Linked DNA regions of Drosophila melanogaster. The protein of the gene in region 2 interacts with the protein of the main gene of each other region in a pairwise test. Each region holds a gene or a part of one and is shown on either strand. Other genes may lie near its edges.

Region 1 (6,582 bases), on a different chromosome or scaffold from region 2:
TTCTGGCATTGCCGTCGAGCGATTCACGTTTACGCGGCGGCTCTCGTCACGTCTGCAATATACGTCAAATGCTCTTGACGAAAGATCCAGCCAGCTCCTGCTGCTCCACCTCCCCACCCCCACCCCCACCTCTCCCCGGGGGGACAACAAAATATTTGAGCTGGGAACACGAACCAAATAAAGACAAATTGCGGCATTGAAAGGTTTATAAAGTTTGAACCAGTCCGAGTTTCAACTCGAGCGGATGCTAAATGAAAAATTCAATTCGTGGCCACTCCCCGCTCATCAGGCACACTGAGAAAAAAAAATGCGATAAATGTAAGGTACATAATGAGACTATACAGTTTCTAAATAAAAAGGGCAGATGAAGGGATTTTTCGCAATAAGCTCAGTATTGAGTCGATATATTGCTAAGTTTTTTTTTTTTGTAGGTAATGGAGAATTGAATAAATTTTAATCTAATCGTGTTAATGAAATTGAACAGTTTCAAAGTATTTTTCAGAATTAAAATGAAATGAAAAACTATGTTTTTAGTTATTTTTGAAAATAAAAATGTTGCGTATCACTGAGTTAATTTGTGCTAGAAATGGAAATCAGGGAAATGACATTTAAGATGTTGCTGTGCAACTTACCATTCTCGCGCTGCCAATAATTGATGGCCTTCGGCGATGCCTCGACATTGCAAATTAATGTGACATCCGTAAGGACCGGGGCGCCGACCAATTGATTTGGCACTTGCACCAGCGGATGAACTGCGGAGGAGAAGACGGAGCAAATGGGTTGGGAGTCAGTGTGGATGGTGAATGAACCCGCGCCCGGTGGCAGTGCCAATTAATAAGCCATCAGTGGCCTTGTGACCTGGCCCACCCGCCTCCCCGTAAACCCGCTGAATCTCTGCTTGTCCTCCGCCCTAAACCCTCAACTCGTAACCCACAACGTTGCCCCCGCGGACTAGAGCGGCAATTAAGCTGGCCGCCACCAGGGAGCAAAGTCAAACTTCAAACCCTTTGTCTGACTCCGGATTCCCGATTCCAGCTGTGATTTTTATTTTTTTTTTTCGCTGTCGGTTAATGGCAGCAACGCCAACAACAACTGATACGATTTTAATTGAAAATGAATTATTTTGTTGTTAGAGTGGAAGTCAGCAATCCTGGCCAGCAATCAGGACCAGCAGCAGGACCACGAGCCTGCAGCAGCAGCAGCGCAGCAGCAGCATCATCCATCGTTTTCGCCCAGTGGTCAGTCAGTGGCAAATAAAACGAGCAAGCCATATTGCTAGTTTCTTTTCGGATTTTCCTATTTTCCACTCCCTACTAGGAATACAGTCACTTATCCGGCTGGGCTGGGAATTGGCTTTTCTTGTCGAAGGAGTGATGACCCCAGAACGGTTTAATGATTCCTCCACTAAAGCATCTTTCGTTTAAACTCTTGTATTTGCTTCAGCGATTTGTAAGATTTTTATTCAGAAACTATTACGCAATAGAAGAGCTCAATCTATCTATTCAAAATCATAAGTTTTCGGGATCTAAAGCTTAAAGTTAGATATTGAGAAACTATTACGCAATAGAAGAGCTCAATCTATCTATTCAAAATCATAAGTTTTCGGGATCTAAAGCTTAAAGTTAGATATTGAGAGAATATATAGCACTTGTGTTTGGGAAACAGCAGGGTGTAATTTTGTAAGAAAAGGGTTTCAAGGCCTTTAAAGCGACGAATTAATTGTTTTACACTTGCTTTGCTTCGAATAGAGCATTTTTAGTTCGCCAAGGACGTGCCATTAATTCATTGGGCTTGCCCTTTGGAGCTTTTCCATGTTGTCCGTGTCGTGTTGAGTTTGTTTTTTTTTTTTTTTTTGTTCTTTTCGGAATTTTTTGCAAGTTGATTTTTTGCGTTCTTTTCGTGTCTTTTTTTTCGAGCTTCTGGCCCCTCGCCCTTGCCTTTGACGTTGTCTTGAAGCCGCCCCAGGGAGCGCAGACGGAAAAGCGAAGGACCAAAGTACCGCAGGCCAGAGCCACTGACCATCATTGTTTTTTGGCTTTTCAACTTTGCTCCCACGTTCACCCACTGCACAGCGCTCTCGCCTCGAGCTGCATTCGAGCGTTCATTATTGGTCAATTTATTGGATTTGGACATTCCGCACTCTCAGCCCTCTTCTATATGGCGTCCGGATTTTCGGTCCCTACTCCTACTAGGTTCCCCGCACGTTTGTGCCCGTGCCCCCGTTCGTTGCACCACCCCTTTGGACTCGAAATGGTGCAGCATATGTCATGTGGTGTTCTCAGCGGTGTCGGGTGTTTCCTATTATGTCCAATTCTCGCTTAGCCTACCACTTATTGAAAATTCAATTTGCCCTAATAGAGCTATTCGGCAGGCAGCTGCCAAAATTAAATTATCAAAATAACTAGCCTTCATGCTGTTTACTTTATGATAACAAATGATGATATTTCATTAATCAGATGATTGATTTGCCTGTCGATATCGAAGAAATAACAGAAACGATAATTCTCTTAAGAGACAGCTTTCAATCTCATATGCTAATCGAGATATTTTTTGGTGCGAATCAAAGGTCTTAATACGAACGGACATTGCTGAATAGATTCGGCTAGTCTGTAAGACTAATATGACTGTATATGACTAATATATTCCAAGTTAATGAAATTAAGTTTCAATGTGCCAATTAGATTTTATTTTCATACATTTCCCAGAAAGTTTTCAATACGCTGCAATTGAGACTCAGAATCTATCCCGAACCAGTAGTGCTCTCCGTGGAGCTGCTATCAGTGGAGCTATCGGTGGAGCTATCGGTAGAGCTATCGGTGGAGCTATCGGTGGAGCTATCGGTGGAGCTATCAGTGGAGCTGGCAGAGGAGCTGCTGTCGGTGGAGCTGGAGGAGCTGCTAGTTGTGCTGCTGGTGTCGGCCAAGGAACTCTCCGTTGTCGTCCACCAAGGTCTTGGGCGACGAGGACGTGGACGTGGGCCCCAACCGCCAGGACCGCCGAATCCACCATTGAAGCTTCCGGGACCGCCAAAGCGGCCGGGACCTCCGAATCCTCCACCACCGCCAAGTCCTCCAGGCCCTCCAAAGCGACCAGGTCCGCCGAAGCCACCGGGGCCACCAGTACCACCAGGACCACCGCGACCGCCGAAGCCACCGCCTCCACGTCCTCCGAATCCTCCAAGACTTCGGCCACCGCCTCCGCCGCCACCGCGTCCACCACGTCTTCCGCCTCCCCCTTGGGCCACGACAACTGCCACCAGGGCCAGCAGGGTAATTGCAATGTAGGCACGCATTGTGGGACTTTTGCTCCAATAGCAACTGATTTGAGTTATGTACGTGTAGCCCCTTTTATACCCAAAAATTCGGTGTCGAATTCATCCATCAGCCTTTTTGCTAAGAATCCCCCGTGACGGCAGCATTGGCTGTGTGCTTAGCTGGATACTCCGAAGAATGGAAAATAGAGCGAAGAACTCCCTGAAGAGCTGAGCTCGAATTCTTCGCATCTAATAATCCGTGTGTTTCTCTTGTTTCATTCGTCGTGTGGCAACAGCTGGTCGATGTTTGAATTAGTTCCATTGTTCTATTCTTCTATTTTAATACAACCGTTTGAGTTTAAAAAAAAGTGCTGTGTCAGAGAGGGAAGTTTACAGAAATTTACGCAGTATCCTCACAATGAAACAAAAAACAATCATAACGTTAGCCAAATACTAAGACGAATTGTAAATTTGCTTAGAAGAAAATGAATGTCTATTTGAAGGTTTATAACCCTACTGCAAATTTTTGTTTATTTACTTTGTTTATTTGTTGTCAACAACTGGGTTACTTATTCTAATAGCACTCGTTTAAAAGTTCTCTTAAAATCTATGACTCAGTCGGAAAAATTATATTTTTTGTTCATTTTTTCATTTACATATTTATACCTGTTACTTGCTGAGTAAAGGGGTATACTAGAGTCGTAGAAGCGTATGCAACGGGTATCTGTTAGTCGGTTTACTCGACTATAGCATTGTTTTATACTCCAGCATCGAAAGTTGAATTTTCTCATGCTTTATTAAAAGTTAGGAACTATGTAAATTCATTAGTTTTTAAGGCCTTTCAATTGGTAACACTTATTCGCAGAAATAAGTCAATTGATTTGTAAATACACATGCTTAGCCTTCATTTGCGCCATTTATTTATGTCTAAAATCTATCTATATCAACTGCCAAGTAATAAACATATATTTCTTATATTAATAAAAAAATATGTATAGAAGATCGAACATCTTAGAGTGAATGTGGATTAAGTTCCTGAAAAGTAAAGCTCTGAACAGCTTTTCTGACTTTCCCAATTCGAGAGTTGCGGATGTCGAGGAAGAGAAATCTTTAACATTAGTGCTAATACATGGCAAACGACCTCGAGGAGCCACTTAATTTTCTGATTAGAATCAATCAGGGCGTCGAGTGAAATGTGCGGCTGAGACAAGGACACCTAGTTGGGCGGCGGGAGTGGGTGGCGTTTAAGAATCGCGAATATAGAATGGCGTTTCCCGCTTTCCGCACATATGGGGATTTTTAAATTGAAATTTCGAGGACCGGAAGGTGGGTGACTTCGTTTGGAGTAAAATGAAAATGAAATGACAAAGAAAAAGAAAAAGAAATTTGCGGCTTAGATAAAAAAAAAAAAAATATAAATGAAAATTAATTTTTGCGTCAAAAGTAAGTACATATGTGTGTGTGTGGCTGAAGAAACTGACGCCACATATTCACGACCGTGTCAATATAATTTTCGGATACAATCTTTTGGGTTTTCAGAGAAGCTGGTGGTTCTAGGTATTCTTCGCTGTCCCTCTTCTGCTTTCCCCTACGGCTTTCCTTCATTTTCCCGTACTTTTCCCCTTTTTCCGCCTTTTTTTCTGCGTTCTCCCAATTCCTCTTGCTTTTGCGCTTGCCCAATTGTCGTCGTTTGAACTTTTGCCCCTTTTGGAAATTTCATTAACTTTGATGCGGGAAGGTAAAACAGTTACAGGGGGGGTTTTTTAAGAGGTCTTAAAGGGGGTTTTTTTATGTGGGCAGACAGAGGGATAGTGCAGAACTGCAGAACCTTAACAATTACCACTTCACATGACACACAAACTCGCCAACTCACACAACTTTAAAGTTTTACTGCAGAAACGTGACGTTGCGTTACCCCAAGAAACACTTCACACCCGCCACCCCCCCACCCGTTTTCCATATTTCCCGTTCCCCTTTCCCCATATTCGTAGGGAAAAATGCCCTTTGACCCAACATCCACAAGTTTGGCGCCCTAATGCATTTGGAAAGTTTGTCGGCCACGTGAAGGAAGCTGCCGGATATCGAAACGGAAACACTTGCAGTTGCCGCCGCTGCGTTATTGCTGCGGTTCTGTTCCTGTTCCTGTTCCTCTTCCGCTTCCGGTTATAGTTCTGCCACATACATACGACTCCGATACGGAACAGCCCCCTTCTGGAACAAGCACAGCACAGCACATCCGAACGGGGCTATATGTTACCATTATGATTATTATGCGGCATTAGCTGCCTTCGACTGCCATAAATCAGTCCATTTTCTTGGCCAACGGCTGCAGGTGGCGCTACCCATTTATCATGTATCATATATGGATAGTTATATACTGTAGTGGTACTCACAGTGCACCTGTAGCTTCATCCGCTTGCTCACCGTCGGTGGCACTCCGTTGGAGGCAATGCACATGTAGGCGCCCATTTCCGATCGCGTGATCTTCGACAGCGTCAGCATTTCGCCCTCCACCGATTGTGCTGTGGGTGAGGAAATGAGTATTGTGGTATAGGGGTGAGTACATAACAATATGTGGTGGTTGCTTTAAAATGGGCTCCATATGTTTAAATTATTGTGTAAATGTGTAGTTCGGTTCGTCTGCAGTTGGCTTTAAATATTTGTATTGTTAATCAGGCAGGAAGCATACAAATTTTTTATTTTTAAATGCAATAATTCAGTTTTGCAAGTCCGTGAGTAGGATGCATTGCACTTACCTTTTGTTTTCTGGTGTGAGCCGTTGCGGGCAATAATCTCCCTGCCATCTTCGCGTCGCCACGTGATCTTCGGCTTCGGATGACCACGTGCTCGGCAAACGAGCTTGGCGGATCCGCCCTCTGGGACCATCATGTCCCCGGAGGTCTCTTCGTTTATAATGTCCGGTGGGATGACCACTTCCAAGGTGGCCGTCTGCAAGCGAAAACATTTCGGATACACATTAAATTCGCCATAAGGTTCGCTTATTCGACCTGTTATATATATTACGCATACGCCCAGTGAACCATACAGCCATACAGCAAGGTATATATATATATATATATATATATTAGTTCTTTTAAAAGACTTTAAAGTTTTTTCCTTTAATACAGAACTTAATGATTTCGAATCAGTATTTACTAAGCTGTTTTTTTAAATAATTTCTTGCCCCAATTTTTCGATATAATTTGTTTTTTTAATCGAGTTTAAAATATGTACATTTGAATCAATGTTCAACGCTTCATGCAATTGAAGGTGCCACTAATGTTAGCCCTTTTAATAAGTATTAGTCAACATTTTAGCTGCACTCAACG
Region 2 (9,709 bases):
TGTTTGGCCCGTAGTTGTAGGTACTATTTTTGAAAACACCATTGGGAGTTCCCACAAGACAAACAAATCCGTGCACCGTTGTATTGGATTCCAATCGAACAGCTGACATACCTTCGGGCCCGTTAGTTTTCCCGATCGCCCTGCATATGATACCATATCTCCCATTACAGCGCTGCAGCCCAATCAAACCGGTTTGTCGCCTTTCGACTTTTCGGTGGTCTCAGTTCACATCCATTTCCCCAACCAGTCCAATTGCTTTTATCTTGCTCCTCGAGTGTTAACGAAATTGCTTAAATCCACCCACATTCATCCTTTCATTCAGTTCGGCCTGGGAGTAGCAGCATGAAAAACGTTTTGGATGTCATGTCGATGCAGCAGCACGTGGAGTTGAACAAGGCGCAGACCATGAAGCCCATCGACTATCGGTAAGTTGAATGATCCAATCTAAAGATACCACCAATATATACATATCTGTGCCATCTGTGCCGCAGCAAAATGAACAAACCCGGCGTGGTGCCGATGTACATCTTTGAGTGCGCTGCCAAGTTGAAAATGAAACCGCTGACGGCGGCCTGTGCGGCCATAGTGTTCCATCGCTTCTTCCGCGAGGTCAAGGCCAGCGACTACGATGAGTTCGTGAGTAATATATGCCCCCAAAACGACCCCATCTCATGAGAAACTTTCTGGAATCCACAGCTCATTGCCGCGGGCTCGCTGTACTTGGCTGGCAAAATTAAGGAAGACGAAAGTGTCAAGATACGCGATGTCATCAACGTGGCATACTGCACCCTTAACCGGGGCAATGATCCAGTCGACCTGAACGATGAGTACTGGTCGATGCGGGATGCCATTGTCCAGGCTGAGCTGCTCATCACGCGCACCCTGTGCTTCGATCTCAACATAGATCTGGCCCACAAGTACTTACTCCACTACATGAAGACCCTACAAGACTGGGTGGGCACTGAGGTGTGGAACTCGGTGCCCATTGCCAAGGCAGCCGCCTCGTATCTGCAAGACTTTCACCACAGCGCCAATATCCTCAAGTACAAGCCCACCCATGTGGCCATTGGGTGCCTGTCGCTGGCCCTCCAGACCTACGGCATCCAGGTGCCGCTAACCGACGAGTCCGACGAATCCGCCATGTGGTACAAGCCCTTGGTCAAGGACTTCACCCGAGAGAACCAGTGGGAGATCATCGAGAACGTGATCGAGGTCTACAAGAACGAGGGCTTCCTGAATGCCACCTAATCGCTGAGAGAGACTGCCAAAACCATTCCTTCTGCCATCTGAACTTATTTATTTTCCCCTCGCCACCTCATAAACCAATCTCAGATACTACTAGACGTACATATGCTCAAATGTCCAATGCATTTACATCATGCCCTTGCCAAAACAAATAAATTGACCGGTAATGAAATGCTTATGTGATCGACGGGCGAAAGTACATTTACCTATCAGCGAAGACGATAGATCTAAAGTTTACAACTTATTTATACACTGATTCAATAAACAATTGTTCTGTGAAAAATGATATTGTTAATGGGTCTTTGGAGTTGTGAAATGCTTTAAGATTCTGAGGAAAAGCAAAAAGGTGTTTGGCGCTTTTATTTCAATCAAATTCATTATACTTTTAAGCTGTTAAAAGTTTTACAAAAAAATATTACACTTTATCAAACAAATTTAAATAAATCGCTCTGTATTTGATTAAATTCCGGGATGGGTGGCAACCCTTAGCCCCAGCCCAGCAGTGTTGACTAACGCAGGCATGTACAAAAACAATGCTAGTTCGTAAACAAAACATATTTTTTATACATTACTTGGCCAGAGCGAAAAAACAAGGACAATATGCGTAAGACGTGGGTGAAGCGAGAGAATATATACTTCAAGCCCTTCTACAAGCAGAAGTCGAAGATGTTCCTGCTGCTGATCTTCCTGGTCGGAATTTCGTTCATCGCGTATCAGGTGAGAGTCTCGCAAGGATTTTCCTGTGCACGGTGTTTAATGTGTAAACAATAACGATAGGCCTTCTCGCTGAACCAGCTGCCCGGAGTGCCTGCTCCGTGGAATCTGCAGCAGATCAAGCGCAAGCACCAGCAGATGATGCAGTCCCTGGGCAGCAAACAGCGCGACGTGGACGATTTCGATGGCGGAGGCGCCGATGCAGTTGCTCCGGCAGGCGGGGAAACCTCACCTGTTGCGGGTCACGAGGATCCCATCAAGATTGTCAGGTGTGTAGTAGATGCATTGTTGCTGGCTTGGGAAAATTCCTCATCCTCGTCTTTATCCTTTAGGGGCACACGGCTCTTCGACTACGACGCCTACAAGCCCAACTTCGAGGGCAAGTTCCGGTGTCTGGACGGCTCCAAAGAGATCCCGTTCGACCACCTGAACGACAACTACTGCGACTGTGAGGAGGACGGCAGCGACGAGCCCAGCACGAATGCCTGCGCCAAGGGGCGATTCTACTGTCGCTACCAGAAGCGTCACATCACGGGCCGGGGCCTGGATATCTACGTGGCCAGCAGCCGCATTAATGACCACGTGTGCGACTGCTGCGACGGCAGCGATGAGTGGAGCACGGCGACCAAGTGTCCCAACGACTGTGCGTAGTCGCAGGCCGACGGGACCCCGTTCCCACTCCCATTCCTCTTCCATCTCCTCCACCTGTGCACCTAGGACACCAATCTCAAGGATGAAGATGTCGGGCGGCGCATCACAAGCGATATTTTTTGTACGAGTACAATAGAATTGTAATTTATTTTAAAATAAGTAGATTGAATAAAAGAAACGAATTCCAAGAAACACAATGTGGCCTGTTCCAGTTTTCACATTCAAAGAATCTGATGGATTTAATGTGTACAATTTGTTTAAAACTATGTTTAATTTGGTGCCAGAGGAGCAGCTGCAAGATTAGATCTTTGTGGACATGTGAAAAAAAGAAGCTGCCATTTTATCCATATATGCTTATTCATTTTATTACCAGACTCACAAAAATCAGTAGAATTTACATTGGGAATTCCTTTTTTGTTTTGTTTTCTTTTTTTTGCTCGACTTTCTCTGCGCGATTTTTGGTTTCGAATTCGCAGCGTTTTCATTTATAATGTTCAATTTACATCTACGACCGTCTGTAATTTTAGTTAATATGGTTCTTCTTGCCTAAAAATGTTTTGTGCAGTTTAATCCGTAAAATGTACATCGACAAACTCTAAAGCAATTTTGAACTGCAAATTCTACAAGGTACGAAATTTTGTGTGTAATTAATTTTTCCCTTATATGCACAGTACGTCTCACTGGATTTTCTCTTGGTTTGCTTTCTTGGCTGGCTTTCTTGTCTTGTTTTGGATGATAAGCGGAAGCGGTAATGATCTCCACATCGATATACATAATTAGTTTAAGGAACGCGCGCCATCGCATTTACAATTACTTCTCGGATCTGAATTGGCAAAATTCACTTTATTCACTTGCATTTGCATTGAGTACTTCTTCTTTGACTTGCCCAGCACAATCAGAGAAAACTACGTCGTCTATGCCTGGACGAGCTGATTGCTATATTGCTATCGACGCTCTCGTCTCACAAATTTGATACTTTGCCCCCAGTTTGCGATGGAAACTGGGGATCAACCTAAGTAAAGTACATTTGTTGTTGTGGCTTGCTTTTTGCCAGTTGCAACTTAAAGTTAGCTTACGTACGCTAAGTAATACTTAATCAGAGGGCTTTGTGGGTGTGTGTGATTTAGATTTTAGGCTGGTTAGATTAATGCGTCTGTGCGGATGATGTATAAATTCATTGGGGTACTTAAAACATAAATTGCTTGAGACACGCTACGATTACAGTGCTTGCTCTACGATGTTTACTTTATATCATGTGCGCAAATCACAAATCTTTTCATCAATTACAAATAAATAGCATGGAGTGTTTGTATAAAATAAGAGAGGTCTGTAAAATCAGCATATATATAAATACGCATATATATAAATATATAGATATATATATATTCGGATTATGTATATTATTGCACTGATGAGATTTTGCTTTCAGTTTGGGACGAATTACAAAAATGCGATGATCAAAGATACAAAATACGAACAAAAAGGGGAATAAATAAATACATGTACAAAAAATGAAGGGACGAAGGGACTGGACATACATATAATATATATAGGACGTGGTAGGTGTGACTCCACTTAAGCTAAGTGCTGATGCTGCTGGTGGTTCTAAGAAACTTTCTCTCGTACAAGTACACATAGATATAGTTAGGCTACAGATCTAACGGCAAAGCGTATAATACAATTTCTGCAGTTTGCGTTTCGAGCGACACTGATGATGATGATGATGGTGGTGCGAGTGGTGATGTGAGTGGTGTTGGTGGTGGTGATGCCTGTGTGATGTTGCCGGATGGTGATGATGGCGCGCCTGTGGCGGCTGCTGCGTCTGCTGTTGTTGCATATGGCTGTGGTGATGACTATTTACAAGGCTCGCGGACGAGGCGCTCAGAGCCACCGCCGACGAGATCAGGGCCGCAGCCAGGCGCGATGAGGAGGCCAGCGCGAGCTCCGGGGCGGCAGCCAGCAGCTGCTGGTGGTGCTGGCGCAGCTGCGCCACCTGCTGACGCTTGAGGGCGGCGGTACCCTTGCGCATCGCATGCAAGCGACGCCTGTGGTGATGCGGATGCAGTTGCAGCTGTCACTTTGCCTCCTCGCCGGCTTCCAATAGATTGTTGCTCCCATTGTTGGTGGCGGCCACCGCCGCCGAAGACTGCTCACTGATGCCGACACCCTGCTGCTGCTGCATTTGCTGTTGCTGCTGGTTGAGCGCGTGGACGTGCTGGCAAAATGCCTGCAGCACCTCGAAGTGGGTCATCAGATTCGCTGGCTGGTTGTCGTAGTGCAAGTGCCGGGTGATCGGCGCATTCAGCCTACGTAGCATCTCCGTAAACAACTTCTCCTCCTTTCTAATCCAGGGTCGGCGATCATCCTGCACCTGGTAGGGCGTCAGGTGGACATGGATGTTCATGCCTGCTTAAAGACTCCCACTCGTTAGTTGACTCAACTTGGCATTTACTCTCTCTCCACTTACCCATCCGCGTTAGTGTTTCCAGCAAGCTACGGGACGTGATCCAAGTGTTCTTTTGGCCCCCATGGCCGCCATCCAGCCAGTACATGTCTGAAATCCGGGAGAGAAGGCGGCACATGCTGCTGTCGTCGGGCGTGAGCGTCTTAAGATAGTGGAACTCGTAGATGAACTATAAACAAAAAAGAAAGTGCAGATAAGTATGGTCAGTTGGGTATGGGCCACAATCCTCAGATACCGATTCAGCGTTTAGATTTATACTCTACACGCTCCATCGACACTTCTGCATAGGATTGAAGCTGGCGTATTGGCGAGTGGATCAACTAGGTAACGAACCAAACGCGACTCACTTGATTGAGCACGACGCAGCCCTTGCTAAAGCCAATCAGCACCAGCTTGGATTTGTCCAGATTGAGGTTCTCCCGCCACCACAGCGGATTGCTATCGCTGCTTGCCGTTGATGTGGAGGTGCCCGTTGCCGAGGCTGTTGTTGCAGAGGCAGCGGAAGCCTGCCTCGTACCACAATCGTTGTTGTAGTGCTCCACATTGTTGGTGGCATTTATCGCCGTTGTGGGAGAAGTCATCTTGATGGCTGCCGCCGTTTGCTGCTGCTGCTGGAGCTGCTGGTTGTTCACTTGCTCTTGGTGGTTGTTTACACTATCATCGTTACCGCCACCACCGATGTTGCCATTATTCCCGGATACATTGTTCACTGCCTCTGGCACTTCGTTGCCAACTATCGGAAATATTACTGCCCCATCCGCGTCCACTGTGATATTCTCCTGCACCTGCAATATATCAATGTCCATCTCCTGGCTGCTGTCGTTGGCCGGTGCCGATTGTGAGTTGGACTCCGAGGTGACCGTGGCGTTGGATAGCGTTAAAGCTGCGGCCGCAGCAGCAGCAGCCACTGCCGCCGCAGCAGCCGCTGCCTGGGCGGCCTGATCCAGAATTTCGTTCTCTGGTATGGAGATCAGGCGCTGCGATAGATTCTGAAGCAGTCTGTGGGGATAAACAATTGTTATTAATAAGAGCATTCTTGAATTGTACACTATGAACTTACTTTTCTAGATGCTGGAGGGCATGGTTCATGGGCGTGTGATCCGGAACTCCAGCGTTGTTGCCCCGAACAAAATTGTCAAAGCAACTGAATGTCTTGAACTCCATGCTGCAAATGAAAATGCGTTTATATTATTTATAAATTATTATTAAAATATGCAAAAACTAACCGCACGGGCCGGATGACGATGATGTGTGACCGGGGAAAGGCCTCGCGCAGAAGGATGGCCGAGTTTTCGAGGTTGTACTTCATGTAGCCCCGACTGTCACGGTTCGTCTCCATGCTCTCCGGGAAGTCCTGCACGTCCCCACCAAAATAGATTATGGCCGTGGAGTCCTCCGGCACGTGCACCGAGTGCTGGCGCACGATCGGCGGGCAGTAGACGATGTCATTGGCCCGGTTCTGGAATCCGGCCACGGAAAAGATGCGGAATGGGCCGGCCGAAGTGCTTGGCGTGCACAGACGCTCCCCGCTGCCGCCGCCAAGCATGCCCTCGAAGTTACGGATCCGCTCTTGCAGTTGCAGGAATTGATCAATGGTGAGCTGCGGGATCGAATCGGTTCATGGGGGATTACTTTACTTGGTGGGCATTAACCAATCACAGCATCATTTTCACAGCTTCACACACAAACGCTCTTTTTTGAAAACTTTCACAAATCAATATACTTTCGAAAGTTCTGAATAGAATAACTGATGATATAGACCACTTCTGTTACAGAACTATAACCCTAAAGCTAAATACGATCTTCTTATAATACACTTGCTTTTTCTTTAGTTCCATCAGAATAGAACCATTTCGGATTAGTGATGAAATATAAATCTAAATAAGGGACGTCCTTGTTTGAAACCCCTCCTAACAACCTCTTCTTATCCTAGTAGTAATCATCCTCGTACGCGTCCCTAGGATTCCCGCAACAGCCAACGAATCGCAGCCTGGTGTCCTCCATGCAAAGTTTGGCGTCCTCGCGCATCTCGCGTGCCTTTAGGCGCACCTCTTCGCGCATCAGGTTGCGACACATGGCCACCAGACCCATGCCCAGCAGCATGTAGACAAAATTGATGGCCAATTTGGAGTGCTGATCGGCGGCCACGGACTGTAGCTGGGCCAGCTCGGCAGGATCGGCTGAAATGTCCTCCTGCAACTTTTGCGTCGCTGCATTCACATCCGCACTGGTAGTCAGCGAGGCACCGGGCACAAAGTCGCCAAATCCAATCTTGCACAGCGAGGTCATGCAGAAGTAAAAGCTGTTCAGTAAGCTCCACTTCTCCCAATTGGCAAACATCACGGTGCCGGTGAGAACGTAAAAGAAAATGACCCACAGGCAAGCGGTCGACGGCACAATGACCTTTTTGCGTGTCATGCCAACACCACCCTCAAGGGCGTCCATTCGATCCAGGCGCGGGTGCTCCTGGGTGCAGTCGTGCAGTGATCGGTAGAGGAACTTAAACGATCTGGCCAGCACTCTGCCCATGTTGAGGAAGTACAGGATGTAGAGCGGTATGCCAAAGGTGGCATAGATCACGGTGAATCCCTTGCCCCACGGAGTTCGTGGCACCATGTTGCCGTAGCCAATCATGGTTATCACCGACAGGCAGAACATTAGGGCAGCCGGAAAGCTCCAGATCTGCTCTGGACTTCTGCCCACATAGCCGTGTTTGACAACTCCGGCTATTTGCGACTGGTACTCCCTCAGTACATCGTTCGTGGCCTCCGTCCAGCGTCGACGATCGATTATGTTGTGCTGCTCCGTGATGCTCCACAGCTGCTGGGAGCAGTTCTGACGCAGCTCCATCACATGGCCAGCCGTCTCGTCCACAAACTGGCGCTCGATGTGCATGAAGGCGAATGCTCCACAGATGGCATAGATCACGATCAGAGCGCCCACGCCCACCTGGGTGCACATAAAGGTGACGAAGTTGCGGCAGCAGCGTTTCACCCTTTTCCTCGGCTGGTTGCTCGGCGTAGAGGAAACACTCGATGGCCCCCCTCCCATGCCTACAGTTCCGCCGGGAGATGGTTTCCTCTGAAATTTGCTGGCCATTTTAGTCGCACATGGATTATATAACCGATTCCACAGATTCCGGATATCTCCCTTCTGGTCGAATGGCCTTTGAGCCCGACGATGTGCAATTAATTGGACAGTTATCGATTCTCAATCTGATTTAGAGCACGGCGGCGAGTGTGGAAATCAGCAAGTTGTCTAAAAATAGACCCACGCCTTTGCACGGCACATTTTCCACAAGATCAAACGTGAGATTTTCCCGACTGCACAACCGATCAGCGCGGGCGCCAAAATTCAACTGGTGGAAATCTGTTTCGAGGGAAAATCTACCAAGACTCGGAGAGCAAACGAGCGGAAAAGCCAGTGGAAAGCCGAATGAATCTATGGAAAACAAATATTGCGGCTCAGATATTTATGCCAGCAAGTGCCCGCGGTTCTAAATCAGGCCATTTACGTCAAATTTATGGACGGGGCAATTAAGACATCACTGTGGTACAGGTGCAATATGCAACAATATACAATAATCTGTACTGAAAAATAGTTACGATTAAGCATCTTATTATCATATAGTACTTCAATTAATTGATAACGATTTTGTAGAAATTTCATTGAAATAACTATTGATATGTTAGGATGTCATAATAACTAATGAGTAATCATTAGGTTTTTATCATTTTAGTACAGTGAGTACAGTACAGAGAGTATTGAATTGGAGAAAACTATTTAATGTAGCTATTCGTATGGTCCTAAATCAAGATTTAACCGATTTTATCTTGGCAAAACTAATTCTGCAAAGTTATCTGCTTGGAATAAAAGTGCTGATACACATATTCCCCTGACAATTTCCTGCAATTAAGCAAATCCGAAAGATACAGCCTGGTAGTGTTGGTCATAAAATTTCGGCACTTTGATTGACGACGGGTGTGTGTGGTGGAGCAGACGGCGCGAGAGCTTTTGGGAATCTCGGAATTGAAAACGGAATCAGAATTGGGCGCTATTTTTACGGCGCGGCGATAAATCAAAACGGGAAAGAGCATCCGCCATCGGGTAACAACAATAAAACGGGGCCCCCCAAACAAACTATACGTAAATATAAACAAAGAATTAAAAAACGAAAGCAGAGAACGCACTCACACACACAGACTCATACACGCACGCACGCATAGGCGGCTGTGCTGATAGAGAAGAAGAGGAAGAAAGATCAAATACGCAAAAACGGGGGGTGAAAATGCGTAGCGAAGAGATAGATTTTTTCAACACCAGCGCACTCGCATTCACACACACAGACACACACGCACGCTAACTCGCTGCTGCTGCTGCACACTCACACAAACACAGTTGAAATTTCACAAAAAGTTTATGCAAAATTTTCCGGCGCATTGCACTCTGCAATTACCGTTGCAATTCACCTGCACTTTTCCGCTACTTACGCTGTTTATTCTCGTTAATCGTTGCGCGTGAAAATTTTGGCGTTCTGGCTGCTCTTCCCGCGTATTTCCCGTATTCCCTCTTCGTCTGTTTTTCTTTTATCTTGCGTCTGTGTTTTCGCGACTAGAGCAGCCAGAACTATCGATG

The links. Proteins that work in one complex are often made in the same cells at the same time.
Region 1: the proteins of CG31122 (region 2) and CG10918 interact in a two-hybrid assay, tested with the Drosophila melanogaster proteins (one large-scale study listed by BioGRID).

The regions. Positions count from the first base shown.
Region 1 is NC_004354.4:21,425,952-21,432,533, forward strand, and holds CG10918 (uncharacterized protein), read right to left. Parts: upstream 3,306-6,582; 5' UTR 3,293-3,305; coding exon 2,741-3,292; 3' UTR 2,663-2,740; downstream 1-2,662. Other genes in the region: DIP-beta (Dpr-interacting protein beta), read right to left, coding at 633-752, 5,647-5,775, 6,010-6,202.
Region 2 is NT_033777.3:18,403,198-18,412,906, forward strand, and holds CG31122 (uncharacterized protein), read right to left. Parts: upstream 6,664-9,709; 5' UTR 6,621-6,663; coding exon 6,301-6,620; intron 6,240-6,300; coding exon 6,135-6,239; intron 6,074-6,134; coding exon 5,422-6,073; intron 5,244-5,421; coding exon 5,078-5,243; intron 5,020-5,077; coding exon 4,685-5,019; coding exon of another isoform or gene 4,268-4,684; 3' UTR 2,867-4,267; downstream 1-2,866. Other genes in the region: koko (kokopelli), read left to right, coding at 343-425, 492-636, 697-1,248; CG7685 (uncharacterized protein), read left to right, coding at 1,846-1,962, 2,023-2,228, 2,292-2,610; CG10864 (uncharacterized protein), read right to left, coding at 7,004-8,173.